Linked DNA regions of Drosophila melanogaster. The gene in region 1 interacts genetically with each later gene. Each region holds a gene or a part of one and is shown in the gene's direction. Other genes may lie near its edges. The genes, in order: gish, dgo, so and stan.

Region 1 (7,714 bases):
TTGAGAACGTAAAGTTGAATTATTTTATAACATTATGGAGTGGTAACAAAGAACTTACCCTGCCAGCTATTGTTGAAGTTTAGCAGGAAGAGTTCGCCATTAAAATCGCTATGGGAAAGCAGCTGCAGGAAACGTATGAATCCAGTTTGAGGTGCCGCTATGGACTGCGGTGCATACCGCTGCTGAAAGAGATGCGCCACCAGTAGCTCAGTAGCCATATCAGGCCACAAGCCATCGTCCAGCAGTTGTGTGGCCAGCCAGCGCTTGGCCAACAGCACAGTGGAACCAAATGCGCTGTAAGTTTGATGAAGCGAATGTAGAGCCCCACTTACTTTGGGTAGAATATAATGTTGACGCTCTAAGGAACGACTGGCTGCATTGTCTATATATGTAGTTATGCCACGCTCAGTAACTTCCTGCTTCAGCAGCGCCAGCTCCTTGTTGTGTGCCAGCTCTATAAGGAAGCAGTAACCTTGCTTGAGTACGAGCAGACCGTCGGCGGACATCACCCAATGAAGCCGGCACTGCGCTTCCAACTTTTCGCCAATTTCGATAAGAAATGCAGTTTTAAGAGCACGCAGTGCACCAAGTTCAGTGGGCCACTTGCCGCTTTGCCCGAGCTGGATTACCACACGCTGAATGCTGCTTGCCAGGATGCGGTTTTCTACCAGAAGCGCCTGTGGGAGAACGGGCTGCGGCTCGCAGTAGCGGAAAATGGGCGAGACGCCTGATATGGAGACTATCTCTAGAGGAAGATCATTCAGCCCGTGTAGTTGGCGTGCCAACTCATCATAGCAGCGGATGACGTGCGGACTAAGTGCCTCTGCGTCGGTATCTTGACCCAATGGCAGCTTGGTCTTTAGCTTATTGACCTTAAACCAAGGAGACAGCTGGTAGACTTGGTCCAACTCGCCGCCAATGTATTGTACTTCCTTGCTGTCCAGTTGTAGGTGATGCTCCAATAGATGCAGCACAATCTGGCGAACAATTAGTCGCTTCTTGGCGGGTGAATCCTGGGCGGTCCCCCAAACCACAGCTTCTGTGATGCTGCCATCCTGAAACCGACGTAGGTTTGATTTCTCTCCCCAGAACCGTCGGAATTCCTCAGCTCCCTCATGATCATCGTTGGCAGCAGGTCCTTTGTTTAACACCTGGTATGCGTGCTCTGGCTGAAGTATAAGGCCCAGTTGAATATACTTCCCAATAACGGGCGCTTTTTTTTCCACAGGCCAGGCGGCTGTCGCAGTTTCTAAGGGTAGTATGGAGTGGACACGTTCAGCAAGTCCCTTTTTAAGGAGCCTAAAGTTATGATTATTATTTCTTTGTAAGTTGCCTGTTTAGCTTAGTTAACTCACTCAGTCAGTAAATGTAGCAGCTGCGGGTAACCATAATTAGCAAAATCGTACTTAATTCGAGGATGCGAATGCAGTGTAAGCATTTGATTTATGCATGAATAATTGGAAATCCTGGGGAAAAATAAAGTTTATAATTGAAAAACTAACATTTTAGCTTCACATACTTTAAGATATTATCCACCCTGCTGTACAGTGGACACTTTTGCATAAAGATAAGCGGGAAACTGTTTAGCTTCATGTCGTTCAGTAGTTCCACCGCCAGTTTGGCCTCCTCTCGAACTCTCTGATACAGGTAAAGCGGAATATTTGCGCATAGATTATGCTGTCCAGTGAAGTCTATAAAGCAAACGTCATAGTGTTCGGCAAACTTGTTTAATTCTTCCGTTTGAATGGGAGCAACAGACAGGCTAATGCCTTTCGTCCAGTCCGTGTTCGCCAGTTGGTTCCATACAGTGCGTGCCACTTGGTAACTGCTGCTTGACTGATGCAGAATGCGCTGCGTATTTAGGTACACAATAAAAGCGGCTAAGATGTGGGCACCAAACCCACTGTAACCTATGTCCAGTTGCCTCTGACGCAACCATACTTTAAGGAGCAGCAGGCCGTCCTGAAAATTACGCCTGCTCTTAAAGGCCTTATCCAATTGAGCCTGGTTCTCGGACAAAGTTAGATCAAACAGTACGTTTGCGTTGTAGTGTTGGGTGGAGGGCAGCGGATCTTTCTCGTCCCATTCGTCACCGTAAAACGAGGGCCGAATATTGTTGTTCCAGGGAACAAATCTGCCTGGCTTAAAACTGCTTAATGGGGCAGTGATGAACAGACGCACTTGCAGGTGCTTGTTTACTTGCTTAGTAACTGGGATCAATTCCAGAACCGGCTTAAGCGGGTTGTTAGCATAGTAGTTGAAATTAAACTGATCTTCTGCATAATCTGGGGACTCCATCATCCTCTCCGTCACATAAGTAAGATACAAAGCTCGCTTCTGGTCATAGCGAAGGTTTAGGTAATCTTCTTTGTGCAGGGATTCTTTTGGCATCTCCAGGGCCACATCCACTACAATTTTGGGACCCAGCAAAGTGCCCGTGGCGGCGGCTCCGATCAGATAAGGTTCCCTGGTGGGCTTGGAGAAAACAAATCCGGTCGGCTTTTCAGAAAGCTTCATTGGAACTTCCAAGTGGGTACGCTCCATCAAGCCATCCTTTAGCTGTCGGGTAAAGGCCGTAAAGGATTCAAGCCAGTTTTCAATGAAATCTGTGTATTTCTGCTTTAACTGCAGCTCCTCCAGCATTTCCTTAACTTGAAGCTTAAAGAGATTGGAGTGGAAGAGATTTTGGGTGTCTCGTAGCTCCTTCATCTCCTCCAAAGTGGGCGGCTTTACATTCTTGGTACCTTCTCTCTGCTTGAAGTTGTTCTTCTTTGGTATGGCAGTGGATGGTGGGTCGCTCTTGGCGATTTTGGGTTTTGGTTCATCAAGGTCGCTGTGATCCCCGGCATGTGCAATTGCTTGGGTACCTGTTCGAGCAGCTCCCTTCGGAGAGCCCACCTAAACAAAGTATGTTATAGGCCAAATAGTTTCCATAAAGATCTAGACAATCTTACCAACTTTCCTGGCATGATGTTTCCCTGTACAAATCGCATATAATATAAAATTTATTTACTTGTTGGAGAGAGAGCTAAACTCGCACGTGTTGCAGATGCGGTATTTCAGAATTCGGTATTTCATTAGAGGTTTTTGTATGGTCACCCTAGAACTGGGCAGATTCGTTTTTTAGTCCCAAATCAGCCGCAAAAACAGTGTCGAACGTAATTATAATTAAAATATTGAAAAGGTTTTATACACTAAATAAATTAGAGCAAAATATATTGCATGGTACACAGTTGTTGAATAAGTTACAAATTTAGACAATGTGAAGTGTAAATGTCTATACCAATTGCCGAGAAATCCTTGGATCCAGGACCAATAAATAAGATAAAATTTATAATATTATAAAAACAAATTATCAGTTAAACGCGAAAGATATTACCGTGGGCCTATACAGTTTTAAAGAGTAGATAAACAAATTTACCGGCTAATTGGTTTCGCCAGCAACAGTATTTTAAACAGTATTTTTATTTCATAATTATGTTTAAACATCTTTTATGTAAAGAGGGCTTTAGGTAAGTTCTGTCTTTAGCACAAGTATATAAGTATCTGTTTAAAATAAACGGGAAAAGCTAATTAAATTATCCCATTTTTCTTTTACCAGTAATCAGCATTAAATCAGCCTAGAGTATTTCCCTCGTTTTTCTATACGGTCTTACTCCGTCTCTGTCCATGTATAAGCGTGTGTGTGTGTGTTTGCAGGCAGGGGAAAAAATCGCACCATTTTTCTCGTGCTCTCTTGCGTGCGTTTTTTGGTCTTTCGAGGATTGTTTCGTAGAAAATCAGTTAAACACAAGCCCAGCTTAATTTATAAAAAGTAGTGAACTAAGTTGTTATCCAGAAATCGACGAGCGCACAGTAGCAAATCGAGTTGCAAATTTCAATATTCGGTCCGAACGTGTGTAACTGTGTCTGTGCGTGCGTGCGTGCGTGTGAGAGTGTATGGGTGAAAAATGAGGCGTAATGAAAATGCGTGCAAAACTGTATAAAAGGTAAATCGGCAGTTAAAAGTTGCCTAATTAATAAAGCCCACAAGTCGTTCATTCCGTAAAGATCAAAGCAAACCTTATAAAATGATGCGTTGGCAGAAAGGAGGCCCATTGAAAAAAATATGGCCAAAAGTCGAGTAGTTACACCCTCTCTGCCTCTTTGCCCCTCTGCCTTTCTTGGTTTTCTCTCTCTTATTCTCTTTGGGTCTTTGGCCATCGCCGCCTTGGCTCGTTTTTTGCATCGAATAACAAAACTTGAAAATTTATAAAAATAAACGAAATCACGTACGGAAATATTTACTTCGACCTTGCGGCCCCAGAGATTTTTCCAACAATTTATACGGCGCGGTGGCCATGGCAGCTAATTAGCCTAATTTTCTGTAATTTTCTAAATTTTAATTTGGTACCTTTTAGAAGAGAGTAACTTTCATTTGTGCGACGATGACTTTAAAAGTTTTAAGTTAAAGTCAATAGTAACTCTTACTAAATTAAATGAAAATCAATTGAAAAAAAAAAACAAATTTAGTTAGCGCTCTCATCAGTGCTTTTAGTGTGACCAGCATACGCTATGGCTGGCCTAACATACCAAAAGAAATACCGCAGTTTCGTACATTCATTAGTCTATTTACTATTTTTATTATCCATACAGAATGAAAAATGTTTAAATCGTCGGTAATATGAGTTTTTTTATATTTTGTATCAGTTAACATGATCTTTCGTCAAAACATTCAAAGCGCTTGGAATTAAGACCGATCTTTACGTTTACAATTTTGTTTATTCAGCTCTTTTACAATTGCTTTAACTTTTCCATTCTTATTTTTCAGATTGCTTTGATTTCCACGATCGTGAGCATTAAAAGTTTAGGCGTGATACTGACCGGTTAAATTTCCCTTAATTGAAATTTAACTACATATTTAAACAGCAACATAGTCCCTTTTGCCTAAAATGTCATCAAAAACTGGGAGGAAAAATATCATAGCAACAATCTGAATGAATTCGGAGATTCAGATCTGTTGTCACAAAAATTGTTGGATAAAATGTGCGAAAGTGTGTTTGTCAAATTGTTTAGCCAAAATTATTTGTTTACATAGTTGTTCAGCGTAGCACGAGGCTGTTTTCCTTAATTCTTAACAACATAGATACACTCGCCTTGGCTAATTTACACCGGAACCTAAAGCCGATTAACAATAGGAAAATAGTCCTACGACAAATAGCCCGCCTTTTGACATATGAACACATAACTAAACTACCACACAGCTCACCAAAAACATAAAATAAATTCGGAAAGTATAGCACCAAAGCTGAAATTTCAAGGAGATGCTGCTCAAATTTCATACTTGATGTCAAACAACGACGACCCCATAGCAACAACAACAACAACAGCAGAAAGAGAAGGAAAAGGAACAACTGGAATAACTGTAAGCTAGCGAACAGAGGGAGAGAGGCAATCTCTGTACACACACCTGTCGTCCAGCGGGGGAAAGAGCAAAAGAGAGCGACGGATCTCCCGTGTGTGTTGTTCGCATGCGCGACATGCGCGGACGCTAAGTGAGTGTGAGTGAGTGCGCGAATGCGTGTGAGTGTGGGCGGTGAGGATAATTCGCTCAATTCGCACGCATCCCACAGATCCTGCAGATCCTCCAGTTTGTTCGTCAAACAGAGTCAGCATTTCGGATCAAACCAGTTGCCTGTCAGCAACATTAACAGCCTCAACGTTGGAAAAAAAAAAACAAAAGCAGCAGCGGCAGTCGATAAAAAAATCATTATCAAAATTACGGAAAAGCGATCAAAATTCAAGCGAGATTAGCTAGGCGAAATGCAGCGACGAGAACGGCAAGCAAGGTGAGTTATGATTGTGTAATTGTATATCGATTATCCCCCAAATTCATAAAGAGGTAATGGTTCTAAGACTCTTTCAAAAATTAAAAATTAATCCTACCATTTAAGTTGGCATTGCTTTTGGCTACAGTATTGAAACCCATTTATAGTTTTCTATTGTCAATCGAAAATCAAGATAAGCGAATCTAGCCCACTGGCTTTATCCCTGCTTTTGAATCTGAATCTTTTGTACGCCCCTTAGCTATACCTTCCAACTCCAAGCGGTACTCAAATTTTGACTAGAGACCATAGGCTTGCGACTATTTATAATTTTGCATTGATAAGCCGTGCTAAAAAACCATTGCCACTATCTACGGAAGCGACGTCTGTTCTCATAAATGTTCCATATTCGGTACTACAGTACACTGTTATCAGGCGTAGAAGCGGTTGGATATTTTGATAGCGATAAGATTATGGCTGTGTCGGGAAACGCGTGTTTGCAAGTTTTAAAACCTAACAGTTTTGATTTGGTTGGCTTAGTTAACCAATAGAACTAGCTTTTCTTTCACTCATAAAACTTTTTAAAATATTAACGAATGCAAACTGCGAATTTTTAAAGAAAATGAGTCTGGTTTAAAATAATTTTATTTCGTTTAACATAAATAAATTTCCATAAAGCTAATTCCTTTTAATTTCCTAGCGAATACTGTACATTGTCAAAAGTTCAAGCAACAGATTTAGTTGTAGCTGCCTTTTTTGCCGAACGATTTTATTTTTAGCAAAGAGATGTTTCTATTTAAACTTGTGTGTTTGATTTTATTTTATTTTCGCAAGTGTTTTTGTTGCTTTTGGCTTATGGCGTCTGCTTTTTCTCGCCTCTGGCACGCCAGCCAAACTAAGAAGAAGAGCCATGAGAAGGGGGTGAATGAAATGGGTTTCCAATGCAATACATAATACCCACATACATACATATGTGGGTGCGTGATAGATAGCACCGGTCTTTCGTGTAGGAGAGCGGGAAACGAAGTGCACACAACTCACGCACATTATAAATATTTTATAGGCATTTCAGTCGATCGGCCTCCTTGTGTCAGGCCGACGGAAGAGCCGCCTTTTTAGCCTTGAATGTGGGTCCAAAGCTTTCGTTGCTGACGATTTTACCTCGTGTTCGCTTATTGACATTTCTAGGTTCTTGTTGGGCCGAAGTCTTCCTGTGTCTGTGTATCTCTGTTTTTGTTTTTTATAGTTCTTTATACATACGTACGCGCATATGTTTGCCATTGGGTCTTCCCAATGTTTGCTGTCTGCATTTTCGGGTCTTCCAGCTATATATACTCACACAAAGCACTTGTTTGCTTGTCGCTCATCAAGATGGGTAAGAAACCGGGGACTTCAGTAGCACCCTTTATCGGGGATTCTAGTTGACCTCTGGGAGTTATATAAGAAAAGCAGAACTGGGAAGTCAGAAGACGTAGATTCTGGTCCTGCGAACCTTGAATGTTGTTCTGTGAAATTAAAACTGTTTCATGACCCGTTTTAATAGATTTAGGTTAGGTCACAACTGGTGGTGATTGAGCCTTTTCTCTTTAACGTTTACTCAACAAAATGTATGAAAAAGCAAAAAAAAAAAAAATCATGTTACAACATTTATTTTCCACTCCACCGGCGGTACATAATACAAGAAAACGGAAAGCAACTAACCCAGCTAAACTAACGTAATTTTGTTGCTAGCCAACAAAACAAACTTACTCACACCCATCTAGATATTCACATTTCCACACATTTTAGTTGGAGACAGCGAATGTAATAAAAAACAAACTTTTTGTATTACTTTTTATTATTTAATAGCCGAGCTATTATGACAAGTGAATGGTGCAGGGGCGACGGGGATAACCTAAATTCTCAGTTAA
Region 2 (9,310 bases), on another chromosome or scaffold:
GTTTTTAATAAAAATTACCTATGGAAAAGACGAAAACGGCTGCCGAAAAATTGGCGGAGCGCAAGGCGCGTTTGCTGGACCTACACAAGAAGCGCCAGGAGGCGCGTACGGACAACCACCAGGAAGTGGTGGCAGAGGACGCTCGCAAGAAGCTCCCCAAGAACTGGGAGGCTCGCAAGCGACAGGCGGAATGGATACTAGCGGACGACAAGGCGCGAGCCGAGGCGCAGGCAGCTGGCAAGGATTACGAGCGTTTGAAGCTTTTGGAGGTATCCGCTGTGGATGCGGATCGCATTGAGAAAAAGAAGAAGCGTAAAGACAATCCAGATCTTGGTTTCTCCACATACGAAGCTCAAACAGCTAGACAGTACAACCGATTGGTCAAGAGTATGCCTGCTCGCGATTTGGAAAAGTACGAGCGCCAGAAGGAGGAACTCGGTGACGCCTTCTACGGTGGAGCACACACCACTTTGCATTCGAGGACGAAGGACACTCCAGGTGCTATTAACAAAATGGTAACAGACCTGGAGCAGCAGATAGAGCGCCGCAAGAAGTACTCTCGCAGGAGGATCTACAACGACGATGCGGATGTGGACTTCATCAACGAGAGGAATTCCAAGTTCAACAAAAAGCTGGACCGCTTCTACAGCGAGCATACAGCCGAGATCAAACAAAATTTGGAGCGGGGAACAGCTATTTAAGTTTAGTATTTTATTACCCTTAAGATTAGAGTTCAATTTGTGCACGTATAATTTTTGCAAGTGCAGTTTACATGAAATTCGCCTATAATACCACACAATCGTCCAATTGTTTACACATAAAAGTTTAAACGTAGGAAATGTTGAAGCTGGAAGATTAAAAAGTAAACTCATTATTTCGATATTAGATGTCCAAATTTTTCATTTTATTTCGCGTAACTTTGTGAACATTCATCGTCGTTTGTTTTCTGAATGAACGTAGTAGCGTTTTCGCCCTTTGTTTCCTGTGCACAAAGTACATAGTTGGATGCATGGTCGGTGAAATAAAACGTCAATCTACATATCAAACTCCATCCCTCTACGATGTGAACTTGGTGTCTCTAGAAGAAGAAGCCGAGAATTTTGCCTCCCAAATGTTTTCTCCTAGCCTCCTCGTGGTCCATGATGCCGCCAGAGGTGGTGAGCACAACGTAACCAAACTGACGCGAGGGCAACAGATTGTTGGTCCACTTCTCGATGTCGTTGATGGGCGCATCGAAGCGGGGCGAGATGACGCCGCACTTGTTTAGCCGACCGGTCAGGTTGACAACGATCTTGCCGGCACGGTGATCCTCGACGATCTCGAATTCGCCGATATAGCCATGCTTCATCATCACGGTCAGGAACTTGATGATCACCTTGGAGCAGGGACGCAGCAGCACCTGCCGCTTGCCACGCTTCTCGGCGTTGTTTATGCACTTCAGGGCATCGGCCAATACGTTCATACGCACCATAGCTGGATTTGTTTGCCAAAACTGTTTTACACGACCGTCACGCAAACGTGAAAAAGGGAAAAAACCTTTACTTGAAAACTTCCGTAAGTACTTCTCTTAGATGTAGTTCAAAACTAATTAATGAAAATGTCAAATTACTTATGAAGCGAGTTGGCAGCTCCGTGTCCAAGAGCAAACACTTATTTTTAAACATATCGATATAATGCAGCAGTTTAGTGCGCGGGAGAAGTATTTGGTGTCCAACACCTTAAATTGTTGGCCCGTGATGCTGCAGGGTCATTCCGTACTGATCGATCTGCACAACGAGACCTCTGTGGCCGGAATCATCGATGTAGCGGATGGACACATGACCTGCGAGCTCACCCATGCAGTTTTCATCGATCGCAATGGTGGTCAGCACCCCTTTGATCACTTTATGGTGCGGAATCGAATGATACGGCAGATCCACATACCTTCGTACTTGGATGCCGAGCAGGAACTTCGAAGCGCAATGGAACGGGGAGTCCTGCGAAGAAAGCGAGTGGAAACCAAGGGCGGAAAGCGGACATTCAAGCAAAAACGAGCGGAAGTGCGACACAAGGAAACATTGCAAATGATCTCACAGCAAAAAAAGAATAAGGAAACCTAAACTATTAATATATGCGTACTTGTTATATTTACCAAAAATACATTACATACATACAACTACATTTATAGTAATAAACCTATGAAAAGCAAAACAAATTAGCCCAATCAATTATACACAAAACATAGTCTCTAGCACGTTTATTTATTCCAAGAAATTCAAACGTATACAAACTGAATATCTTATATTCCCTTAATCAAAACTCTACTTAGCGGCCTGCTGCTTCAACTGCTCCTGGTACATGTAGTGCAGCTCCATGCAGTCGGTGTTGGAGATGTTTACCCAGCCGTCCTCCTTAATGTGATACACGCGAATGATACCACCGGAGTAGGCATCCCTGAAGGTGGCATGGTAGATGGCGCGACGTCCCAGCTCCTGGGCCTCCTTGTCCTCCAGGTCCCAATGATAGCCAGAGTCCAGGACACCGTAGGCGTACAGCGATCCACTACCAACAGAGAACAAATTGCCAGGCGTGCGAGATCCCTCGGAGTCCACATAGTAGAGGCCTGGACCACGCTTATCGTAACCGGCCAGCATCATGCCCATGCTCAGACCCATTCCCTTGTATTCGTGGGCAATGTTGGCCATTATCTTGCTGGCGGCGGCCACCGAGATGCGTTCCTTGTTTCGAAGCTCGTGAAGGCGGCATTCCTTCGAAAGGACCCTGTCCCAGTAAACGCAATCGGCTGCGCCACCGGCCAAGGTGCCCAGCATGAACTGATTGATCTCCACGATCTTCTTCATCGACTGGGAGCCAATGTACGATCCACCCGTGGCACGGGAATCGACTGCCAGGAGAACGCCGCCCTTGAACTTGAAGCCCAACGTTGTGGTGCCGTGATCGAAGTTGATTTTGACGCCGGTCTTGTCGCCATTGGCCTGGATCTGATTAAGGTTGTGCAGGGGCTGAGGAAATTGTCAAATTTTTTAGTAAATTTCCCAAGAAGATCAGCTAATTAACTACATACGTTCTCGAATGGCGGAGCAGCCAGTGTGTAGGGATTGGCCAGATTGCACATAAGCCCTTTTTGCTCTTCCTCCACATCCGCCGATGACCAGGCATTGGGCCGCATGTACGGAGCATTCGATATCTTGCAGATTTCAGCTAAAGCCATTCTTAAAGCTCCTTAAAAAACAATTGGAAACGTTGAATGCGAAATGCCGATGACAAACAAAATTCGTTGCCTACTTGTAGAGTGACCGTACTTCTGTTGGAGCAATAATGCAGACTATCGGCTTCACCGTTAGCTGTCGCAGGTACGGCAACCCAGCTCGAAACCTGTTGCCAATTTTGCCTGTGATTGGCTTTCTTTTAGTCTCTTTTTAGGCCTGGCTTGAAGCCAAATTAACTCTGGGCGTTCCATCAATCCATCAATGGCCAAATACTGCAAAGTCGGGTACTGAACAATAGTCGAAAGTAAACATGTGTAAATACGTGAGAGTGGCGAATTGCAATGCGTAAATTGCGGTCCAAAGACGGGATTTAAAATTAGTGAAAAGTAAGTCGGGAATCGAGAAAACCTAGGCGCACTTTAAACCTGGTTTTCAGGTCTAGAAATTTACTGTAATAGTGTTGAACATTTAAGAAACCATACATGTTTTATCAATGTGTTATAATGAAAGACATTTAATCTACCCTCAAAAAGGTTGTATTTCAAATTACGAGTCCTTTATTTGATCGCTTTTGGTAACTCCCACTTCTATTTGTAATGACAATTACTACGTGGTACGCCATTACGTGAGGCACACATACATGCGCATACACGGCTAGAAAATGTGCGATCGAAGATCAGATTCATTTGATCCCAGGTCAAGTTAAGCTCTTTCGTCGTCAACAAGGTTATATCAAAGAATACCATCTTTCATATGATTTTCGACATATAAACGATTCTAACGGTAATTACGGTACTTTAAGTAAGATTTTTCATTTATTAAAGACAAAATGTAGTTCTAATATAAATAATTTTTTTAATTTTATCTGGTTTTGATAAAGTGTTACTTAAAAAGTTATAATTGCAACACATCATGATAAATGAATGAAATTATAATTTAACAAATTTGATAAATAATGAATATTTTCGCAGACAATGCAGCATGGATCCTCCCGCATTCCGAAACAGGAAGCTCTCCCGAATGCGATATCCGGGGTAAGTAAGGGCACTTGCCTGAACCAACAAATCTTACACCGATGTAACTTCTTTTTCTGATTTAAGCCCGACTCCAGCAATTGGACTTCGCTGCACGAGGCGGTAGCCGCCGGAGATGATCGCCGGGTGGAGGGTCTCCTGTTCAGCAATGCTGATCGACTGGCCAGGGAATCCGTGCAGGGGAATACCCCGCTCCATGAGGCCGCCAGTCGGGGGTTCAGTCGCTGCGTGAAATTGATCTGCACGCCCCCCACGCCACCCGCTTCCTCGGGGGTGGGAAAAGCAGCAAAGGGACAGAAGGACAAAGACAAGGATAAGAACAAGGGCAGAGTGAAGGTGGCCCACCAGACCATCGAAGCCCTACACAATAGCGCCCTGGGTATTGCCAACAACGAAGGGTTGTCCGCCCTGCACTTGGCCGCTCAAAATGGTCACAATCAGAGCTCTAGGGAGCTACTGCTGGCCGGCGCCGATCCCGATGTCCGGAATAATGTAAGTGTTGGATCATATCAGTGATAACCATGTTTAACATGTTTAACAATTTCAGTATGGAGATACTCCGCTGCACACCGCCTGCAGATATGGACATGCAGGAGTCTCCCGGATCCTGCTCTCCGCCCTTTGCGATCCGAATAAAACAAATCTGAACGGCGACACCGCTTTGCACATCACCTGTGCCATGGGTCGCAGGAAGCTGACAAGGATTCTCCTAGAGGCAGATGCTCGGCTGGGCATTAAAAACGCACAAGGCGACTGCCCCATGCACATAGCGATCAGGAAGAACTACCGTGAAATCATCGAGATCCTGAACACGCCGAAGAAGATACGGAATCGCAAGGAGAAACCCAAGGAGGGCGGCAGCAGATCGGACAAGGACAGAGATCGTGAAAGGGATGTGGTGGACAAGGGTATCAACTGGTCACCCTATGGCTGTCACTACTTTCCCGATCCGCGTGCCTTTCCTTCACCAAAACTGGAGACACTGCCCAAGGAGCCACTTAAGTCGGGGGAGCAATACTTCCTGGATTTGGCTGGTCATATTCACAAGGGTCCGGTCAGCGTGGGCAACACATGCTATTGCGGTCCCTTCTTCCGTCACATTGAAAACAAACTAAATTGCAATCGAAAGAGTTTGAAGAAATACGTTCACAAAACCAAGGAACGTCTAGGTCACAAAGTTCAGGCATTGGCAATCAAGACGAACGATCAGATTGAACAGCTCACAAGAACGATGATCGAGGACAGATTGCGATGCGAGAGCAAGAGGCAGCACCTCAGTGAGTTCCTGCGACGAGGTGAACCTATGCGGTCCACCTTCGATCAGCAGAACAAGAGCTCAAGGATCGAAAGAACAATGTCCAGGTGCCGCAGTCTAGAGCTCTTGGAAAACAACCACGAAGGTGGTAGGCTCACCAACTCACGGAGTGTAGATGTCCTGGAAGATCAGGCAGTGGAGGCTATAGTACACCGATCAGCGGAGGTCCAGGTGGATAGCGACAGCGATGACGATTCCAATGAAGCTCGGGATGAAGAAGAGGCAGAAGTGGGTGACAAGGACCAGGTGCAAGAAGAGGCGGAACCAGAGGAGCACTCGAAGCTAGATGAACTTAAGCTAGATTTCCTAAAAGTCTCCGAAAGACTGGGAGTGCTTTTAGAGAAAACCACCCTGATCATGGAAAGGGACAGCGAACAGGAGAGCAAGCGCCAGCTTTCTTCCTTATCGCCACCTTATAATCCCCATCCAAGGGCGGAGTCTGCCCAACTTCGAGAAGATAAAGAGAGTGTTAATAGTCCCAATTTCGACGAGTACGCCAACGTGATACGACGCTATCCGAACTCCAGTGAGACCTCAAATCCCTCCCAGAACTCCAACAGCTGGGACTGGGAGGCATCACCCACGGGCAGCAATCCCCACCCGGATTACAATAAGTACTACCAGCGCATTGGGAGAGGAGAGAACATGCTGAACTCGGTGATCAAGGCGCTTCGAAAAGATGCCTCCTTCGCGGATCTGGGCAAAGAGGAGACGGCTGTCAATGAAACTGCCGAGGGAATGGGAGGCGACAAGCTGCTCTACAAGGAGCAAGCGAGCGAGGCGGCAGGTATCTCCAATCTGATGAAACGGCAGCCTCTTTGCTTGGAAGACAACTATCCCGTCATGTCGAATTTATTTTACTCCAATCCCATCATGGAGTACGCCGAGGAAACAGAAGTGCGTCAAAATGGCAATGAAAGTATGAGTAAGGTGGAGATTCGGAACAGTGAAATCAAGTGCCTAAAGAAGCCGAACGCTGGTCAGGTGAGGGATATGGTGGCCCAACTGCAAAACACCATTGACTCCAATCGACAGGACTCCCAGACGGCACATGTGATCGCCGCAAGATCACACTCCCGCTTGAACAATAACTTCCATCACTTGGAGGGCACCTCTTCGAACCCTTCGCCCACGTATAGTATTCCCCACCGGAGTAGCGCCCAGTTTGGGCTGCCCGAGAGACACATACCCAAAGATGCTTACTTCCATGAACTGCCCCACCGTCCACCGATTCCGCAAACTCCGCAGAGAAGGCTGCACTCCGGCTACGTACCAAATGCGAGTCTCTATCGCAGTGAAGATCTTTACGTGGGAAGGATTCCACATCCAAATGCTCCACCAAGACAAGTGGACTACGTGGATGCGGTAGCCTATAGGCCTCTGCAGTCCCCCACCTTTCAGGCCATTGTGCCGCCCCATGTTAATCAAAGGCCAAGGAACTGGCCTCATCCCAATCTTCCATCCAATGAAATCGATCTGGACGAGCTGTCTGCCGTTGGCCTCTACAACAATGTCTCGAGTCTAGTTTGAGTTCGGTAATCCCACAGCTGTTCCCATTGTACATAGCTAATCCCTACATATTTATCTTAATTGTAATCAAGTTTTAAACTACAAAGAAAAGTTAACTTATTTTCAACTGATGCATCTAATCTGGAGGGTCTAAAATATATAAATATAATACAAAGATATATGTACAATAATTTTGTTGTTTTTTGTTGAGGAGTTTTGGGTCTGAGTGTTTTCATATTCTGCGTAATTTATGAGAATATCGTGTACTTAATTATTTGGTTATTCCACTTTTGACCCCAAAAATACCCAAAATATTAAAAACGTTCCAACCTGCTCGCTTGTAAATCAAACGCAACCGAATGTTTTCGATCAAAATATATTTTTCTTTAAAAATGTTTAATAATAGTATTTATGCATGTGTAAATATCAGAATGTCAAGTACATATATTTATTGATAACAGATCATTTTGGTGTTTTGATAGACATGCGGCTTATGAACTCTGTATAATTGTGTAAACGAAATCAACCAGGAAATCATCTCAATAATCGAGCTCCGATGTTTGGTGGGAATTCAAAAAAACCAAATCCCCACCGCTGACAAAAGTAAACAAGTAAATTGGGCAACATTTTGATATCGTTCACCAATATGTCTGCGGTATTGTTAGTACAATTTTAGCAAGTGCCTAATGATGATTTCTCGATGTCTTCGTAGTTAATTTAAAATTCTATAAATGACACTGCTGCTGAACGGCGCCTGCTACTTAAATTTATCGGCCACTTAATAATATCTTAATTCTGAATAGTCATATTACAAATACAAATTACAATAGCCAATAATTTAGTCACTTCGCATGTATGTATAAGTATGTCTCAATGTAGGTTTGTTCTATGTAAGTATGTATATGTATATCGCCTAATTTAAGTCTATTAATAATAGTTGTTGCTTTCTATTTAGGGGGCGTTGTTGGCTTGGAAATTGATGTGACATGAGTAACCCGGCTTTTTGCTCTGCGTAACTTAACAATGTTGGTCTCAGGACTGTTGTTTTATGTGAACTATGATCGCTTGTGTGTCGCCAAGTGACATATTTTCGGTCAGGTAACGTCTCAAAGGGGACTGTTGTCGGAGTCTTCGCGCTCTTGGATTGTGGTAATGCTTTGCTGCAAGGCATTCGGTGTCAGCCATTCTCTAAAAAACAACATAGAGTAGTTAATAATCATGAACTTGGCTTTTGTTTCACTTAGAAAGGCTTACTTTGGCAAACATCTTTGTAGAAATGGCACACAGGAGCTGAAATGCGCTAGACGATTGACCCAGCTGGGTATTTCTTGGCCGCAAAGTATCTAGAACGAGTAATTGGAATTGCAGATATAGTCAAATGAATATTCATTTGGGCTTTTAAGCTTGCATTTTCTTGCTCCTAAACTCGAATCGTTTGGAAGCATCTAATTGTATTGGACGTGTTTAGGATGGTAATCTGTCCTACTTTTTGAGGTGATTCACAATAAGAACTTCTGATTGTAACAGGCGGTATCTGACAATCGGTGAATCATGCATAAGCACACCCAAAATATTGCTTGATATTGGATCCACCCAGTGGAAAGTTTCCTCGATTTATGTCTCACCTGAGTTAATGAGCCCGAGAAGTGGTTGCAATTGTTGTTCATGAGATGATATCGGTCGCCACGGAACTGATTACCCAGCTCCTCGACGATACGTCGCACCTCCTCGTACGTAAAGTCGGTGCAGCCGATTTGGATGCTCTGCCGGAACTGGAACTGATCGCCCAACTCGTCGTGATCCCTCGGTGAGATCTCGAATACCCCCGTAAACGGAAATGGATGTCCGCCGTATGCGAATTCGGTGCCAAAGGCTTCTACGCCGGAGTGAAATACGCCCAGGCCGATTGAGGTGGTGTACTCGTTGATCCAGTACTGCAAATGCAAGGTTACATTTATCGTTGTGCGATGTCCGCATGGGCAACAGGAGTAAGTAAGCTTACCATATCGTAGACATTGAGTATAACAGGCTCGCGAGTACCCATATTGGATGGCAGTAGCTCTTCATTACCGATCTCGTCTTTTGGTACACTGAGACAGCTCGGAAACGACAGATTGCACGGCAATCCGTTGGAGAACATTGATTAAATGCGTCGTTGGTTTTGTGGGGCTTGAAGTATATGAAGTCTGCAATGCAGGGCCTTTGATTAATCTCGATTCACAAGCATATGCTGGTTAAAAGTG
Region 3 (7,754 bases), on another chromosome or scaffold:
AACTCAGTGTCTTTCAAAATTTAGGAACACATGTAAGTATCCCAAAAAATTTACATAAGGATTTTTCCCTTGATTTTTATAGATTTCGATTGGACTTTTTAATGAATTCCTTTTTTATTTATTTTATTTATCAGGAAAAATGCAACCTTATGCTTTTCAATACAAAGCAACAGAAAATTTGAAATATATTATTGAGTCCAGATACTAACGGAGTATCATCGCCCCAAATTGATGATTAGCCCAGCAAATGAGCAACTAATCCCGACGAACTGAAAGCTAATTACCCACACGTACCACAAAAGGTCTTCGATTCACGCAGTGTCGAGATTTATGGCGCAAAATTAATAATAATTTCAAGCGAATTAATAATGGCCAGTGAAGGAGCCTGCTTTATGGCCACTTCCAGATGATTAACAATGTGCGCACGATCCGGCATGGAGGACCATAAAGTTCAACACGATCTGACTGTTTGTTTACCATTTCTAATAAGCGGCAGTGTTGCCCCATAACCCAGCCCGGCTCCTCGGGCGCCTGGAGTCTGAAGTGTGGAGTGAGGAGTGAGGCGCACCGGGTCCGGTGGAAGAGTGGAGGGATCGTCATCGGAGGAGGAGGAGGAGGCTCATTGTTTGGTCCGCACAGCAGGTGTCCGGCGGAGAGTTTAGGGGCGCGTGTGCCAGCCTCGTTATTGTCTTCATTCTTAACACCAATAATGGAGTTCGGGGCATTCGGGCTTGTAGGGCCCCCCATCAGACAGATGACTTTCTCCATCCCTTTCTCCGAGGAGGCGGGGGTCATCTCGAACCGCAGAACGTGGTGTTGATCGCTGCATTGTTGTTGGGCTGCTTGCCTCGTTTTTCTCATTCATGTTGGACAAGATTTTTATCGCACTTTTTCATTAACATTTTGTGGCATCCCGTATCGCTGCCTCTCCATCCAACTTTGTTTTATGGCCATCTTTATGTGTTTTCTGGTCCCTCTGGCATTCCCAACTGTTGTCGTTGCCGTCTGTCTTTCTAATTCGATTGAAATATGATCTGTTATTATGTAAATTTTACGATTTCCTAATTTTTTTAACACTTATTTTGGCTATCGGTGACTGTCGAGGCCTGGCGCCAAAACCTTATCGATCGCTGTAAACGATACTGAAATCGCCAGCGGTATGGATCTTCACTTGGCATCTGATCTGTGTGGGCAGTTGCCGATCTTGATTAGGTGCACCGGCCTGGCGCCCCATTAGTCCATCATCTTTGTTGGATTTCGATCGAGTTTCCCAGCTCCGTTTCCGAATTTGCATTTTGGGTGGTCCTCGATGCGATTTTCACGGCACACGCTGAGATCGAGCTACCGATAAATGGGACAGAATTTTAATAAAGAAGTGCTGAAAATAATACCATTTGTCTAAGCGGTTCCTCCAACAACAGGTACTTTGACTAATTTCTATACATTTAGCGTTACATTACATTAATTACATTAATTTACATTAATTACATTAATTACCATCTACAAAATTCACTAAGCAGTGTAGTACTCTGTGATTTAAGTTGACTATTTGTATTCAAAAAGAAAGTTAGGCATTCTGAACGCATCGCTGCACTTTGTACAGGTGTCTCTAGATCATGTTAATAGTTTGAAATTAAATTAGGTTCAAGTTATTTCAGTTATCATGAACAAGGACTTGAAGACGAAAGGAGCCTGTGTATATAGTAAATATTTAGTAAACTAAATATATTAGTAAATCATTAACACAATTAGTTGGCTTCAATTACCAAACGGCTTCATCTCCTTCGGAATCATTAAATAATACAATGCAAACCGCACTAATGTGGAAGGACCACAAGGTTGAGTTAAACCAAAAAAGTGGAGTGAATGAATATGAGAAAAGGCCAGTAATTGCAATTATACGAGAGATGCATGGAACTATTGCGGTGAGTAATTCAAACGGCATTGTAGGATGGCAGCTATTGCACCGGGCATCCTTTCAGCCAGGATGAGGAGTTCCTGGGGAGGAGCAGCGATGCAGTTGCAATCACCTCCGATTTCCGCCTTTCAATATGGCGCCCAATGCGCATGCCTTTTTGCTGGCATGCGTTTCCGCTGACCAATCAGCACGTTGCTGTCCTCCAGTGCGCCGGTGTGCGTGAGGGCATCTATGTGTGTGTGTGTGTGTGTGTGTGTGTGCGAACAGGTAAGCCGAGGGGGCGTTCTTTCGGTCAACCTGTTTATGCGCTCTCTCGCTCTTTCGCACGCTGCCCCTCTCGCAGTGGCTGTCAAACTGTTGTCGATTGGCACCGTGTGTCAAATTCAATGGCTACACGTTTATAAAAATATTTGTCCAATTAACTTAACTTAACTTAACTTAATTGTAAGCCACTTTAAAAATATATAAAACCATTTTCTAATGTTTTGAAGATACAATAGCATATAATAACGGAAAAATGTACTATGTCTTACTACGAAAACATTAGAATACAATAAAATAAAATAGAATAAAAATAAAAACACTTGTAAAGGCAAGATATTGAAAACAACTAAAACGTAGTGAATTCTGAGTTATCATCAGTTCATATATGTGTAATCATGAACTGTGTGTGCCCAGTGACTTTATAAAAGTCAGTGAATGTAAGTCTCGCTTCACTTGATTCCATTATTTTCCTATAACGTTTTTGGAAAGTGACGCACAAAGTGTCGGTGCATCCCACTGTGCAGTTCACCCCCTTGGTGTTCGCTCACTCACACACTCGCACGACCAGTCGGCCATCTCGCTCTGGCGCACGCACACCGCCAGCGGCACCAACCATTTTCTGCCTTTTGTCTCGGCCGTTTTCGGTTCGATTAGGTTTGAGAACCGGAGAGTTCTCAGTTGTTTTCGAGATTCCGTCGCGTGCGGTTCGCTGCCCGTTCTACCCACGTCGCTCGCTTAGTAATCCAGGCCGGATCCGGCGGTCTTTTGACGTCCCGCGCACAAAGTTATATTTAATTTGCGTGTTTCCTGAATGAACGCATCAGTATCGCGCCACATAAACGCACACGAAGCGAGAGAAAAGCGAGCAAAATTGAGCTAATCAATCCGCGGGCGGCCATTTTTTGTTGGCACTGCCTCAGTGCTGTCGTCGCAGCTTTGCCCACCAAATTTGCAGGTGCAATTTGTCCGAGTCGCGCAGGACAGCGAAGTTTTCGCGAAAAGTAATTTGCAACACGTGTTCGCACAGTGCGTATGAGCAATATTCAACGGCAAGCTTGTGTTAGTTAGTGCCCAGTGTGATCGCGACTAAGAGTGTGTGCGTGCGCGAACGGCACATGGCTTCGATTTGAAGAGTTTGGCCAAAATGCAAATCAAGGAAATGCCGCACAGCCGAAATCAGCGCCTTCTTGGCCAACTCTAACATTTGCGGATATAGCACAAGTCGAATCGGAAAGCCAAGGCAAAAGGCACAAACCCAAACAAAGAGTAACAAACAAAAACTAACAAACTCGGATACGTATCAACAATAAATAATCAAAATACAGGTGAGCAGCGAGATTCAGTTTTCATGCTGCCGACGGCAAAAGTTTACTGTGGAACACTAGAAACCATGGCAAAAATATATGTAGATGCATAAGTAGGACGGATATTCTTTCACAATAAGAAAAACGAATGGTATATGGGGGATTAATTTAAAATAAAATTGGCATTGATACTTGAAAAAGGAGATATAATAACTATGATAAATTTCGGGACGATTATGTGAATAAATATAGCTAATATTAGATTATACATTTCCATATTGGAACCTTAAAATTATAAAACCATAAATATATACAAAAGTTTCAGAAAAATAATAATTTCAATAGGTCAAACTAAGCCTTAGAAGAACTAACCACATGTTCAAGAAATCACTTATCACCTATAGATAAGATCATAGAACATAGACCTTTTATTAAACATCCCATACGGTTAAAATGGAACTTACAGCAAAGCGTTATTCTTGATTAGAAAAGCCTAAAGTTCTCTGAGAAAGTATCAATCACTTTGCCTATTTGAAGACTTCATTTAAAAATATATTTTAGTGCTTTAAATAGCCTTTAAAGCGTGTGCAGCGAAAACATTAATGCAGTCCATAAATGTCACGGCGTATCTCTATCCGCTTTCTAATGGATCAATCTATCATCGAAGTCCATAGATTCACAACGTTTTGCCGATTTCAATGAGGAGAGCTGAGAGCCAAAGTGCACTTCGCTTTTTGGCGGCGTGGCATTGGCGAATTCCAAATGGCCAAAAGCCATCGGAAAACCAACTCGAGGCACTTGAGAAGCAATTCTGAGGGAATCGAAACGAAGGCAAAAGCACGGGAATTGCATGTTCACTTATATTTGGAAAGGAAACTTGTTTACACACCAAAAGAAAAATTCTGTTGTTTTATTCACCGCTCAATTTTTTTCTAAGTTTTCCACGTTTCCAAGTTGGCTACTCAACGGCCCACCCACCTCAGATGTATTTATTAATTAGAGGAAAAGATATGAGATGGATTTGATCCAAAGGAAAAGTAGTTTCCAGTTGTCATTCATTCATCGCAAAGGCTTTCCAACCGTTTGGTGCTCGAAACCAACGCACACAGTGTTTATTTATGAAACCATTTGGCTTTATCATTTCGTTTCTCGCCACAAAATTTATGAAATTATTAACTATAGCGACTGTTTGGCCGACAACTTTTGTACTTCGTGTGAGGATGAGTGGGCGTGGACCCACTTTTGTCCGGCTAAATTCGATATTTGCGATATTCGGGGGATTGGGAGCGTTTAAACGAATTGGCCAACGCGTGTTTGTCGTCAGAAGTCGAATGATTAATTGAGTGCAGAGATGGGAGCAGATGTTGCGTACGGTTCTGGTTGCCTATTTCGGATCATCAAGATACCAGCCATGTGGATTCCATCTCGGAAGTGGCCAAATTGACAAATTTGCGCATTCCATTCGCCTAGATTCGGGACTCGGGCAGAAACAGATACAGATACGCAAGTTTGGCCGCAGCAGCTTTGATCATTTTACGCACCGGCGTGCAGAATCCGTCGTAATTTGGGGACGAGCTCCCCACCGGCGGGACTTTCGACCAGTGCACTTCAGTTTCATTCAAAGTTTGGCAAATGCGGCGCAGCAAGGCGAAAAGCAGCCGACATGCAGATGCAGATACATTCGGCTGCGGAGGCAGAGACACATGTGTGTGCAACCCATTAAATTGACAAATTTCATTCATTGCGCCGCGCTCTATTCGATTTCTTTGTGCGTAGCTCCCTCACGCGGCAATTAAACGGAAAATGTTAAAAATAGTATCTGGCGGATAGCAGCGATTGTCTCGACCGTTTGGCAGCAGCAGCGCTTACTAATCCCGACCAGCGGCCAGAAAGCCGTTCGAATTACCCGGAACGGGGGCTGGCCCACAACAGGTTGCATGGCACACGTCTTCCCAGTCCTCAATCCCCAATCCCCAATCCCCAATCCCCAGTCACAGTCTCAATCCCATTCCCATTCGATTACATTGTATAAACACAGACGCCGGAGCAGATGATTTCGGTGTTAGCCGCGAGAAACAGGCGCACTGTTTGTGCTTTTTGCGATTGCGATGGCACCATGCTCCAAGTTGAGCTGGGTGCTCCTCGAGCTGGGGCACACTTCACCTGCAGAGTTCCCGAAGTGCACTTAGGACTTAGGGCTTTGGAACTGCCCTGCGAGTTGAATCGAATCCATCAACAAGTCAATCGTAAGCTGACTTTGATTACAAACTAATTAGGCGAACAACGCTTGCAGCCACGGCAGCTCGAACAATTCAATTTGATTAACAGCCCAATAGAGTTAGGTGTCCGCTTTCAGATTTCCAGGGATTCCACGACATTCAAATTAAAATCTTATAAAAGTAGGAAGAAGCACAGGGGAAGGGGAATGGGGCAAACACGATACAGAAACAGAAACCAATAGATAATAAATTACAGAATTTGTAAAATAAATTAAATTAATTTTATTCGAATGCCACAAAAGTCAGGCAGCTACAGGCGCGCGATAACAGATCTCCCACAAGGCGAACTGAAGAGGCAGCCAAAAGATACAGATAGAATATCTTTCGAGGCCGCTGCTGTCGTAGCTGCTGGTGTTCTTCTTCGTTTTGGGGCAGGGACTTCCACTTCCACTTGGGATCGTGCAACGGTACAGGGCCATAAACCTTGGTATGCCAGTATGCTATGGTCCAATGTGGCTGAAGAGCTCAGAATCCGATCGAATGAGGCGTAAATCGGCTCTAATAGTTCGGCAATATGTCCAGAATGCATTGTGTCCATCGAATATTATCCACTTGTGAACTGAACTGCTGGATTGCTGTTGGCCAAAACAGATTGAAAATTTATCGCGTATTGCGTTTCACGTTCGCATTTTGCTTGTTTACTTGCGTCAAACATGAAACAGGCCATCGAAAATACAAAATACAAGCAGCGGAGAAAGAAGAATCGCAGCGAGCTGAAGAAATCGAATCGATGGAAATCTTCGGCGAGGCGGCGGCTGCGGGGGATCTGGCCTAGGCCGATGACTCAAGAGCAGCCAACTTGGCGTTGGTATTTTCGTTACAGCGGCAGCCAGAACGAATCTCTATTTTCTTGTTTCTTGTTCCTTGTTTTTTTGTATATATAATCTGGCCGGCACACACGAGAACTGAAACCGAAAGCAGATCCAAGAATATCTCGACTCCGATACACGAGAATCAGTGTGCATATAGCCCGATCTTTAGCTTTAGCTTTTGTGGGGGGGGGGGGGGAGGGGCCTAGATACGCAGATATCTGTGGCTGATATATCTACATATATCAGTTTATTCGGACAGATCGATTGCATTGTTTTGAAATGTGAAAACATCGTCTATACCTCATAGATATTCTATCTGGGGGATACGTTCGCGCCTCTCGCTCACTCCCTCGCGATGGCGGCGGAGGCATGGTCGTCGTCGTCGCTGCCGCCTGGTAATTTTAGAAATATTCTTAGAACCGAATACAGAAATGTGAAATGGGAAATGTGAAATGTGAAATCGGAGGAATACCGAAACACCATGCGCCCCATATACACGTACTATATTGTGTAAAGAGTTTATTTTCGTAAGAGATCTCTTGGTCGGTTGGGTGCGGACAGGTTAGAGAGCTCCACGATGGCAATGGCCAGCCGTATTTCCGATTATCGAGCATCGAACATGCCGCATTAATAATTGCCCCCGGACTCGGTTAATCATGTTTGACAACATGGGGTCGGATCGAGGTTCTCCACTGTACTGTACACTTCTGTTTTGATTTCGATTTCAATTTGGATTTGAATTTGGATCTCTAATGCTTATGAATATGGCAAACTCATGCAGACGCGCTTGTTTTGTTTGGCATTTGTTCGAATCACTTGCCATTCAATGGTGATTTTCACAGCCTAATGTGTCTCAATTAGAGAGCTGTTTAAATATTAATCGAGCGGGGTAATAAAAAGATGAATACTAGGGGGCTAATTACTAAACGCAGAATGTGGCGCGAGTTTTTCCTAAAATTGTGTGTTGCAATCGTGGGTTTTTATGGCTCCAAGCAACACAGATATTATCTATTTAGCATACAGTGGCTTTTTAAGCCTGTACACACATTGTATATTTGTATTTTCAATATGCAAACATAAACTTATGGCGATTTTCTATTACTTTTATCATTGCAGCGCTCAAAACACCAAAGATTTAGGCAACTACTAGTTTAGGTTACACCATTCACCAGTTCAA
Region 4 (7,808 bases), on another chromosome or scaffold:
TGCAGGATTGCGCCACTCGCTATGCATAAATTAATTTGGTTTCAAAGTTAGATCATCGCATTTGGATGTATTGAATGTTTAACGATTTTCGTTCACTTTGGGTAAAATACTTGTGAAATTTAAGCTTAAATTGCCATTTTAGGAGAATTTTTGGTTATCTATCGTCCACTCATATTTGTGCTTTTGGCTTTCTCCTCATTAGCTCTCTCCACAATTTTCACAATTTCTTTTCTATTTTTCTATTTCTCTTTCTTTTCCAGTAGCTATCTGCCCCCCCTTTTTTTTGCGTTTTTTTCCCCATTCTGTTGGGCAAAATTAACTTTCCTTGCCGTTGCATAAAATTTAAATTATATTTGCTTTTATTGCCGCTGTTTTATTTTATTTCATTTCGAGTCGCGTCCTTTGCTTTGCTTTATTTTTGCAAGATTGCTTGTTTTTCCTCGAGCGGCATTCTATTTTTGGTGTGCGCATCATTTCCATATCAATAACAGATGGACCTCGAATTCCCGGCTCCCTGCTCCCAGGAAAATAGCTTGACCTGGGTCGGAAAGAACTGGGAAACTGGCAAGTTGGATAGCTGGAAAACTGAAGCTCCTGGCATCACTAAAATCGCATTTGCCGGCGGGGATTATTTGCTATAATTCATGCTGTCAATGCAAATTGAAATTGTGTCACGCAGTCAAGTCGGGCATTTGACGTTCGCATTTTCCATTTTCCGCACTCGCCAATTTTCCAGCATGCCTTTTCCTATTTCATTCATTTTTTTTCCCGTATTTTTTTCTACACACCGCTAACCGCAATTGTTGGCCAGCTTACATCTCCCAGGTCCTGCCGGCGAAATCTCAAAACACAAATGGATTTTTAAATTACCCTCGTGGCACTTTTCGACTCCTCCACATTGCAGGATAACGCTGCGAGGACGAGAACGGGGATGACAATGAGAGCCATAAAACTGTGCTGTGTGTAGGTAGGTGCATTGAATTATCTGCGACATTCTGTGCAGTTGGTTTAATTCAGCAAAATGCATAGATATGAGAGGGGGGATCATAAACTATGCATGGGCAGCGTTTGTCGAGCGAAAGAACGCTCAAATTGCTCCTTCTGAAGATGCAGCCTGTGGCTCCTTGGCTTGCTTTGCGCTTTTTGCCCGCTGCTCGTCCTTTGCATTGTTGAGTTATGTTTCTTCCGATCCCACACGCCCCCAACCCCCCCCCCACTCAGCGCCACCCACTGAACACCCTGACCTCTACGCCCACTAACCAACCTCCCATCTCATCCTTGCGCACATTGAGGTTCAGTGAAGCGGCAGCAAAACCCCTTCGCCTTCCTCCCCTTCCTGCGTTTTTATATCGCTCGCAGGCGGCACTTGCATAAACCAAATGCAGAGACAAGTGTCTTCGTCCTGCAGAGAGAGAAAGATGTGGACACTATGGATGGATAGCCACTCAATCCAAACAAAAATGTGCCACATAAACAAGAAGACGCTGATACGTTGAGTGCATTTTACATATTTTTTTACTACTCTCAGATTGTTTATTTATATTGAATACAAAAATCGGACTTTGCTTATTTAAACAAAATTCCTCGAAGTGATATTTTTCCAAGTGTTTGGCCTGCTTGGCTGGACACGCTGAATCGTGGAGGTTTGGCCTTGTTCCCTCCTGATAACCCATCTTCCAACTCCGATCTCCGAAAAGGGCTGCCGGCTTTCGACGTGTGTCAAGTGTGCTGCATTTGTTTAATGCCAGCGCTCAGTAATTGGAAAGCATGTCGAACATGTCGAATTTATTGCCCCGCAAAAAGCACACAGATACAAATTGAAACGGTTACAGATTACGGATGCAGCTAGCTACACATGGCCACAAGGTTACATAGACACGGATACAGATCAATGGGGGAATTCAGAGCATTCCGAGTCAATGGCTTGGAAGAGCCTCAACCAAATGCAATTAATCAAACGCAAGGGGCCAATGTCAATTACATGCAAGAAACCCCCATTTCGGTCTCCTATTCTCCTATTCCTTCGATTCCTCCCAAAATCCCTTCGATTCGTTGCTATTCGGAAGTATTCGGACCACGTCAGCTGGCCAAATGCGAGTTGTTGGCCAAACGACGATGTCTTGGCCAACACCTTCCTGTAAGCTATAAATTCCGCCGACACATACATACATCTACCAGCGTAGCCATTACCCACGACTGTTGTCCTTGTGGGCCAAAAGCTTGTTCGGTTTCTGGGTCCCAGCATATGTTTATCACTGCTGCCGAATTCTGCCAACCAAAATTGCATTAAATATTTTGCATAATTCGATAAACTGAAATCTAATCGAATGGCAAGCAGGAACATGCGAATTTCTGGCATACCTATGTATAGATCCCAATTGGAATAATGATTCATCCCTAATGGCTTCGTAATTGAAACTATTCACTTAACAGCTCTTGACACTTGAACCTCATCATAACATGGAAAACGGTCATTTGGTCGGTTTTAATGGTGTACTACATTTTTGGTTTTGACAGTGAACTTTTAGCATATTATGTTTCTGAACATAAATTGCGTTGATTTAGACTATCGCTTAATTATGCCAAATAATATGTTTGTTTGTTTATTTAGTTTTCAAACCAAGGCGTTCAACAGAAAATGAATTATTATTGGTGGGACACAAAAACTAGGCTATATGGAATATTATTTATTAATATTAACAAATGAATACACCACATGTAAATTTATAAGTTAGCAATTTTATGTTCAAGTTTTACCCGTAAGGGATAATGTTCCACCATCTTTAGATTCGCAAACTAATTCCGATTACAGGTGTTGGCCCGATGCACAGATAACACATTTATTTAACATTTATTTAATAAATAGTAGTAAAATTATATAAATATCACATTTAATAAATTGAGTCGATTTAAATCTTTGAGCATGCAAAGCGTGCTGCAAAACTAATTTACTGATAAGAAAAAGACTTTCGAAGTTTCCAAAGATTGAATATCCTACAGGTTGAAGAATCCTGGATCAAATTGCACGTTTTTATGCTCGGGGATGCAAACCGAAATTTGGTGGCACCTCTCTCTGCTGCCGCAACATGTTGCAACAGTCGCGGCAATGTTGCTGCAACACGCAGTCACCCCCCGCAGAAAATCCACCACCGACGAAAGTATCCATCGGATACACGAACTCGCTTCGGCTTCCAACTGAGTTTTAGCAAGAAACTCAGTTTCTGTTTCTGGTTTTGCCAGTTACCACTGCGACTCCGGACCGATTGGACGCGTTTTGAGCGTTTGGCCAGCAAGAACGGTATTATTTTTCACTCGGGGCTACGCGTGCGCGTCTCTGCAAAGTCAAAAGCAAAGACAAATGCAAAGGCAAGTGCAAAGCCAAAAGGCAGAGGTAAACGCAAACCCAAAGTAACAACTTCGACGGTCGAAATTACCGGTTTTTCGCCAACACAACATACAACAATCCTCGCTCTCAGTGAATTTTAGCGCGCGGTCTTTTCTTCGCCTGCTGTTTTCAGAAAAGTGCGTTGGCTTTTCCAACAACCACCCCCTTTTTTTAGCCGCCCAGCTTAACGGTCGGGGTTATAGTCGGTTTAGCATTCGAATTATTCGAATTTCCCGGAATCAAAATAGTTAAATCAGTTTAAACAGTGCTCTAGAGTGAGGCCAGTCACACAAACTGGCGAGTGCTAATTATAATATATTGTGTTAATAATACAAACACAAGATTCACGCAGAGGAAACAACACGGATGCGCGATTTTAAATGCAATATTATAAATATTTAACAATGCAGCCGTGCAGCTAAAGCGGATTATTGGCCACCCACGCGTGGAAATTCAGCGGCAGAGCAAACAAAAGCCTGTAAGTTCACACGTTCCAGCCAGGATATATCAAGGATATGTGCATGTGCTCGCGCATATACATATGTCCTTGTGGGCGGGATGCGGCTGCATTCTAATGGGAATTGTGCGACGCATGACACCTGATTCATGACGTATGACAGGTGTCGTTCCAACAGGACACTATATGTTCCGCAGGCGTGGCCTTAAATCTCTTAGATAAACTTCGTATTTAAGGGCTTACGCCATAGCGGAATCGCGTAATTCATATTTTCAAAGGGTTATAAGCTCTAGAAAAGTATTTTGTATCTGCATATAAATGGGGGCCTGTATGAAATATTGCTAGAACCTTTATTTGTTATATGATATGGAAAGACGCTTAGTGGTTCTGGCTACCTCTGAAATGTTTCGATTTAAGACGTTCTTAATTAACGGCTTTCAGCTCTAGGGCTTCGGCAATAAAATAGAGCTCCAATTGGGCCTTTAAACCTAAGGCCTCTTTCTTGGCCATCTCCAATTAGCAGTTGGCCCAAACAGTTGGCCGATGGCCGAAGTCGAAGTCGAAGTCCGACGCTCACACAGTGCAACTGTTAAAGTTCAGAGCCATCGCAAAAAGATACAAACGCGAAGCTCTAAACAAACATTAAACTGAATACCAAATGAGACAACAAAAGGAGGAAGCACAATAAAAGTCACATTAAAACGTGGGTCAAAAACGCGGAGAGCGCGAGGAGAGAAAGGAGAAGAGTTGGGTCAAAACATAACCGAAATCGGAATCGGGGAATCGTGGAATCAAATGCCTGCACGAGATACAAATGTATCTGTATCTGAGCGTTGCAAGTGCTTTGTTTTCCCTGCATTTCACACTTGTCCATGGGATTTTGCCTTTGCCATTGCGTTTGTATCTTTGTTTCTGCGCCCTTTGTCTGGCGCATAAATATTTCAGCAGGCCGGGACAAACTTATCTGCTGGATACATTATTCACTCGACTCAGTTTTGTCGGATTGCCAATTTATTAAGATAGATTTTATTTTCGAGGCCATTAACAGGGCCTTTGTTATATTTCGATGGGGGCCAGATACTCTCGCACATTTATGTTTTATGATTTTCTAGTTGGAATGCGGTGTGTTTGGTGCAATTGGAAGAGTCAAGTCAAGTCCATTTTGAGCCTGCCAGTGGCAAGTAGCTGAAAAATTGTTGTAAGACTGGTTTTCTGCTACTGCTCCTCGTTCGACCCCTTTCTCCCTGCCTCTCTCTAGCTCTCTCTGTCTCTCTTTCTCGGCGTGTTACCAACCTTTTCCCATTCTTCTTGCGGCTGGTGCAGAGAAAAAAAAGTTATTTACTTAGGTTAATTATGTGATCCAAGTTTAGTTACACACAAAAACATCAAATGTCGTTCTATTATATTTTATAAGACGATTAATATTAAGAGTTAAAGGCTTAAGGTGTTATCCTTTAATTTTTACAATAGGCTGTTTTCTTGAAATATGTGTAGAATGAGTTTAATCCATTTATATTTGAAATCAAATAATTGCGGATATAAAGATTAAGTTGTAGTAGAGGAATTACTTGAATAAAATTTAAGAAAAAGTAGGTAAATAAAATATTTTACCGTGCTTAAAATGAGTTTGTTAGCGCCTGGCTCTCTTCGCGGTTTTGCAGCTGTCTCGGCCAGGTTAGGAGCAATCCACCACCGGCAGGCAGATCCGCTACGGGCCATCATCCTGACCAGAACGCATCCTCTTCTTCTTCGGTAGCCGCAACCTGTTTTTCATTGGTTATGTTTTTTGTTTTTTTGAGTTCGAAGTGATCAGTTAAGACTTCAGTTGGCCAAGGAGCCAACGAAAAAGGTGATTTTTTCCGGCTTCTGATGCCACATTCACTGCGAATAGCCAACTCGCACGGCGAACTAACCTCAGTCAATCCATTCGATATCCATGCCGGCATAGGAAAACTCGTTATGACTCTTGATTAATTAACATTTGAATGCTGTCTCGTGCCAGTTAATGTGGCTGATTTGTGACCGGCTTGAGTCCATCAAAATATCAACAGTCTATTGTGGAATTTATTACAGAATCAGAGGGCCAATGGCCAAATGAGATTTGCATGGCATGGAGTTGGACGAATTCGTGTGCACACACCAGAGATTCATTGATGACGTTGATGGTCCACATTTTTCGGTATCTTTTGTGGGTTTATGGTGGCCTCTCTTGGCCACTACTCACACGGCTATCCATGAGATACTTCTGCGTAGGCATCGGCCCTCTTGGTCGCGCACTCAAAACTGGTTTCGGCCACATTCAAAATTGTTATGTTAGAATAAAAGCTTAATTGATGCATATACACACGTACGGTTCAGTTTTATACGGCAGCAGTGGTCCGTAGATACAGCCGAAAAAAAAAACAGTCAGATACATTTACATATACAAATACAGATGGAAGCAAATCCAGACGCAGCTGGATAGGTTATGTCATGCGGCGTCTATCGCATGATTGATGGCATTTGGTTGGCTATGTTTCTCTGGGCTCCTCCGTTGAAATTAGATATTGATTTGGTTTCGTTAATAATTGTATTTCGGATGCTCAACAGGTGGAAAAGTCTAATACACGAAATGAATTATGAATGCTGGCTGTGAAAGCATATACCAATTAAATATTTACTTAGCTCCGAAAAGCTATCTATCAACTATCAACGCAATGCCCAGGAAAAATATTATGTGAAATTGTTTTCTTTCAATGAAATATCTAAGTTTGAACTGCAAAAGCTTAATGCCTTGTTATATTCCATATTGACTTACGTTTATTTTGTTTACTCGAAAGACCATGTCTTAAAAACATGAAATAAAATGAATTTAATTTATATTTAATAAAATGCCGGCTTTCAGAAGTTGTATGAACTAAACAAATTGAATTTACCATATTTATGCGTCAATTAGAATCTGGAATTTAGTGTCCTTGCTCGATGAAATTACAGCTTGTTTGGCCGTTGGCAAACTAAAATCTCGCATGTTCAAAGCAACCGAAGCGGTGTGGTGGCAACCCTGTCCATGGCTGGATGCCCAAATTGATTGATTGACAGCCCTGCACATCAGGCGCATCCGCCCCCCCCCCCCCCCAAACGATGTTTTTAGTTTTTGCTAAATTCACTATCACGTCAAGTAGAGCGGGTGGTTTTTGGGTTGCGGTTGGCAAATGCATGAATAATGTGGCAAAAAGGATGTTCCATTCCCTTGCAGATGGGGAATAGGAATTCACACGTCGCTGGAATCGGGATCGGCAAGCTCGGCATCGGGTGATTCAGAAGTTCGAGAGTGTGCGAGAGACCTCATTAGTGTTAATTCAATTAGAGGAGCCAAAGTTTGTGGCACTTTGGCTAATGAGGCATGTCCAAGCATCCAGAGTATGCCCAAACGCCAGGGAGCCCAGAGATGTGTGCCGTGCCGTCGATTTGCATGCTAGAAATTTGTTTCAATTGCATTAATTAGACTTATCAATTTGGGTGGGCGGATGCACGTATGGAGGCCGCCGGGCAGATCGGGCTGTCAAATTAAGTGAATGACGTTGTGCTTCTCATTAGGAAGAATAAGTCACTTTAAATTGGGACGGAACTCTTTGCCTTCAATTCAAATTCGATATATGTATGTGGCAAATTAATACGCCGATTGAAGATTAGTTATCAAACGTAAATTGATTAGCAAGTTTAATTGTCTACCACCTGAAAATTAAGTTCTCATTATTCTGAGTAAAACTATTACAATGCAACATAATTACCTTAAAAGTGCGGATATATTGATTGCATTGCAGCTAAACTTTTGTAAATAATCTATTAATTAAAGGTATTTATTCTGCAATTGCTATTTGGGCCAAACTGTGAAATGAATAGGCGAGAATTTATTTAATCGGTTTATAGGCAATCAATAATTTCGAATAAATTTGATAAATGTTCCTGTGTCTTTAAGCCATGTAA

The links.
Region 2: of gish (region 1) and dgo, changing one enhances a phenotype caused by changing the other (phenotypic enhancement), as found in Drosophila melanogaster (one study listed by BioGRID).
Region 3: of gish (region 1) and so, changing one enhances a phenotype caused by changing the other (phenotypic enhancement), as found in Drosophila melanogaster (one study listed by BioGRID).
Region 4: of gish (region 1) and stan, changing one enhances a phenotype caused by changing the other (phenotypic enhancement), as found in Drosophila melanogaster (one study listed by BioGRID).

The regions. Positions count from the first base shown.
Region 1 is NT_033777.3:16,269,342-16,277,055, forward strand, and holds the start of gish (gilgamesh), read left to right. Parts: upstream 1-3,659; 5' UTR 3,660-3,989; intron 3,990-4,810; 5' UTR 4,811-5,802; coding exon 5,803-5,828; intron 5,829-7,714. Other genes in the region: Mat89Ba (maternal transcript 89Ba), read right to left, coding at 59-1,299, 1,356-1,466, 1,520-2,898, 2,955-2,993.
Region 2 is NT_033778.4:10,813,974-10,823,283, reverse strand, and holds dgo (diego), read left to right. Parts: upstream 1-3,399; 5' UTR 3,400-3,992; intron 3,993-4,180; 5' UTR 4,181-4,183; coding exon 4,184-4,243; intron 4,244-4,309; coding exon 4,310-4,735; intron 4,736-4,790; coding exon 4,791-7,088; 3' UTR 7,089-7,247; downstream 7,248-9,310. Other genes in the region: CG12343 (uncharacterized protein), read left to right, coding at 21-701; RpS15Ab (ribosomal protein S15Ab), read right to left, coding at 1,079-1,471; Lsm10, read left to right, coding at 1,674-2,099; Prosbeta5 (proteasome beta5 subunit), read right to left, coding at 2,301-3,002, 3,065-3,211; CG7222 (uncharacterized protein), read right to left, coding at 8,174-8,255, 8,322-8,410, 8,693-9,001, 9,070-9,207.
Region 3 is NT_033778.4:7,416,492-7,424,245, forward strand, and holds the start of so (sine oculis), read left to right. Parts: upstream 1-2,858; 5' UTR 2,859-3,507; intron 3,508-6,004; exon of another isoform or gene 6,005-6,340; intron 6,341-6,407; exon of another isoform or gene 6,408-6,503; intron 6,504-7,693; 5' UTR 7,694-7,754. UniProt on the Drosophila melanogaster protein: Required for visual system development. May transcriptionally regulate genes necessary for optic lobe invagination and Bolwig's nerve formation.
Region 4 is NT_033778.4:10,670,107-10,677,914, forward strand, and holds the start of stan (starry night), read left to right. Parts: upstream 1-3,238; 5' UTR 3,239-3,863; intron 3,864-7,808. UniProt on the Drosophila melanogaster protein: Involved in the fz signaling pathway that controls wing tissue polarity. Also mediates homophilic cell adhesion. May play a role in initiating prehair morphogenesis. May play a critical role in tissue polarity and in formation of normal dendrite fields.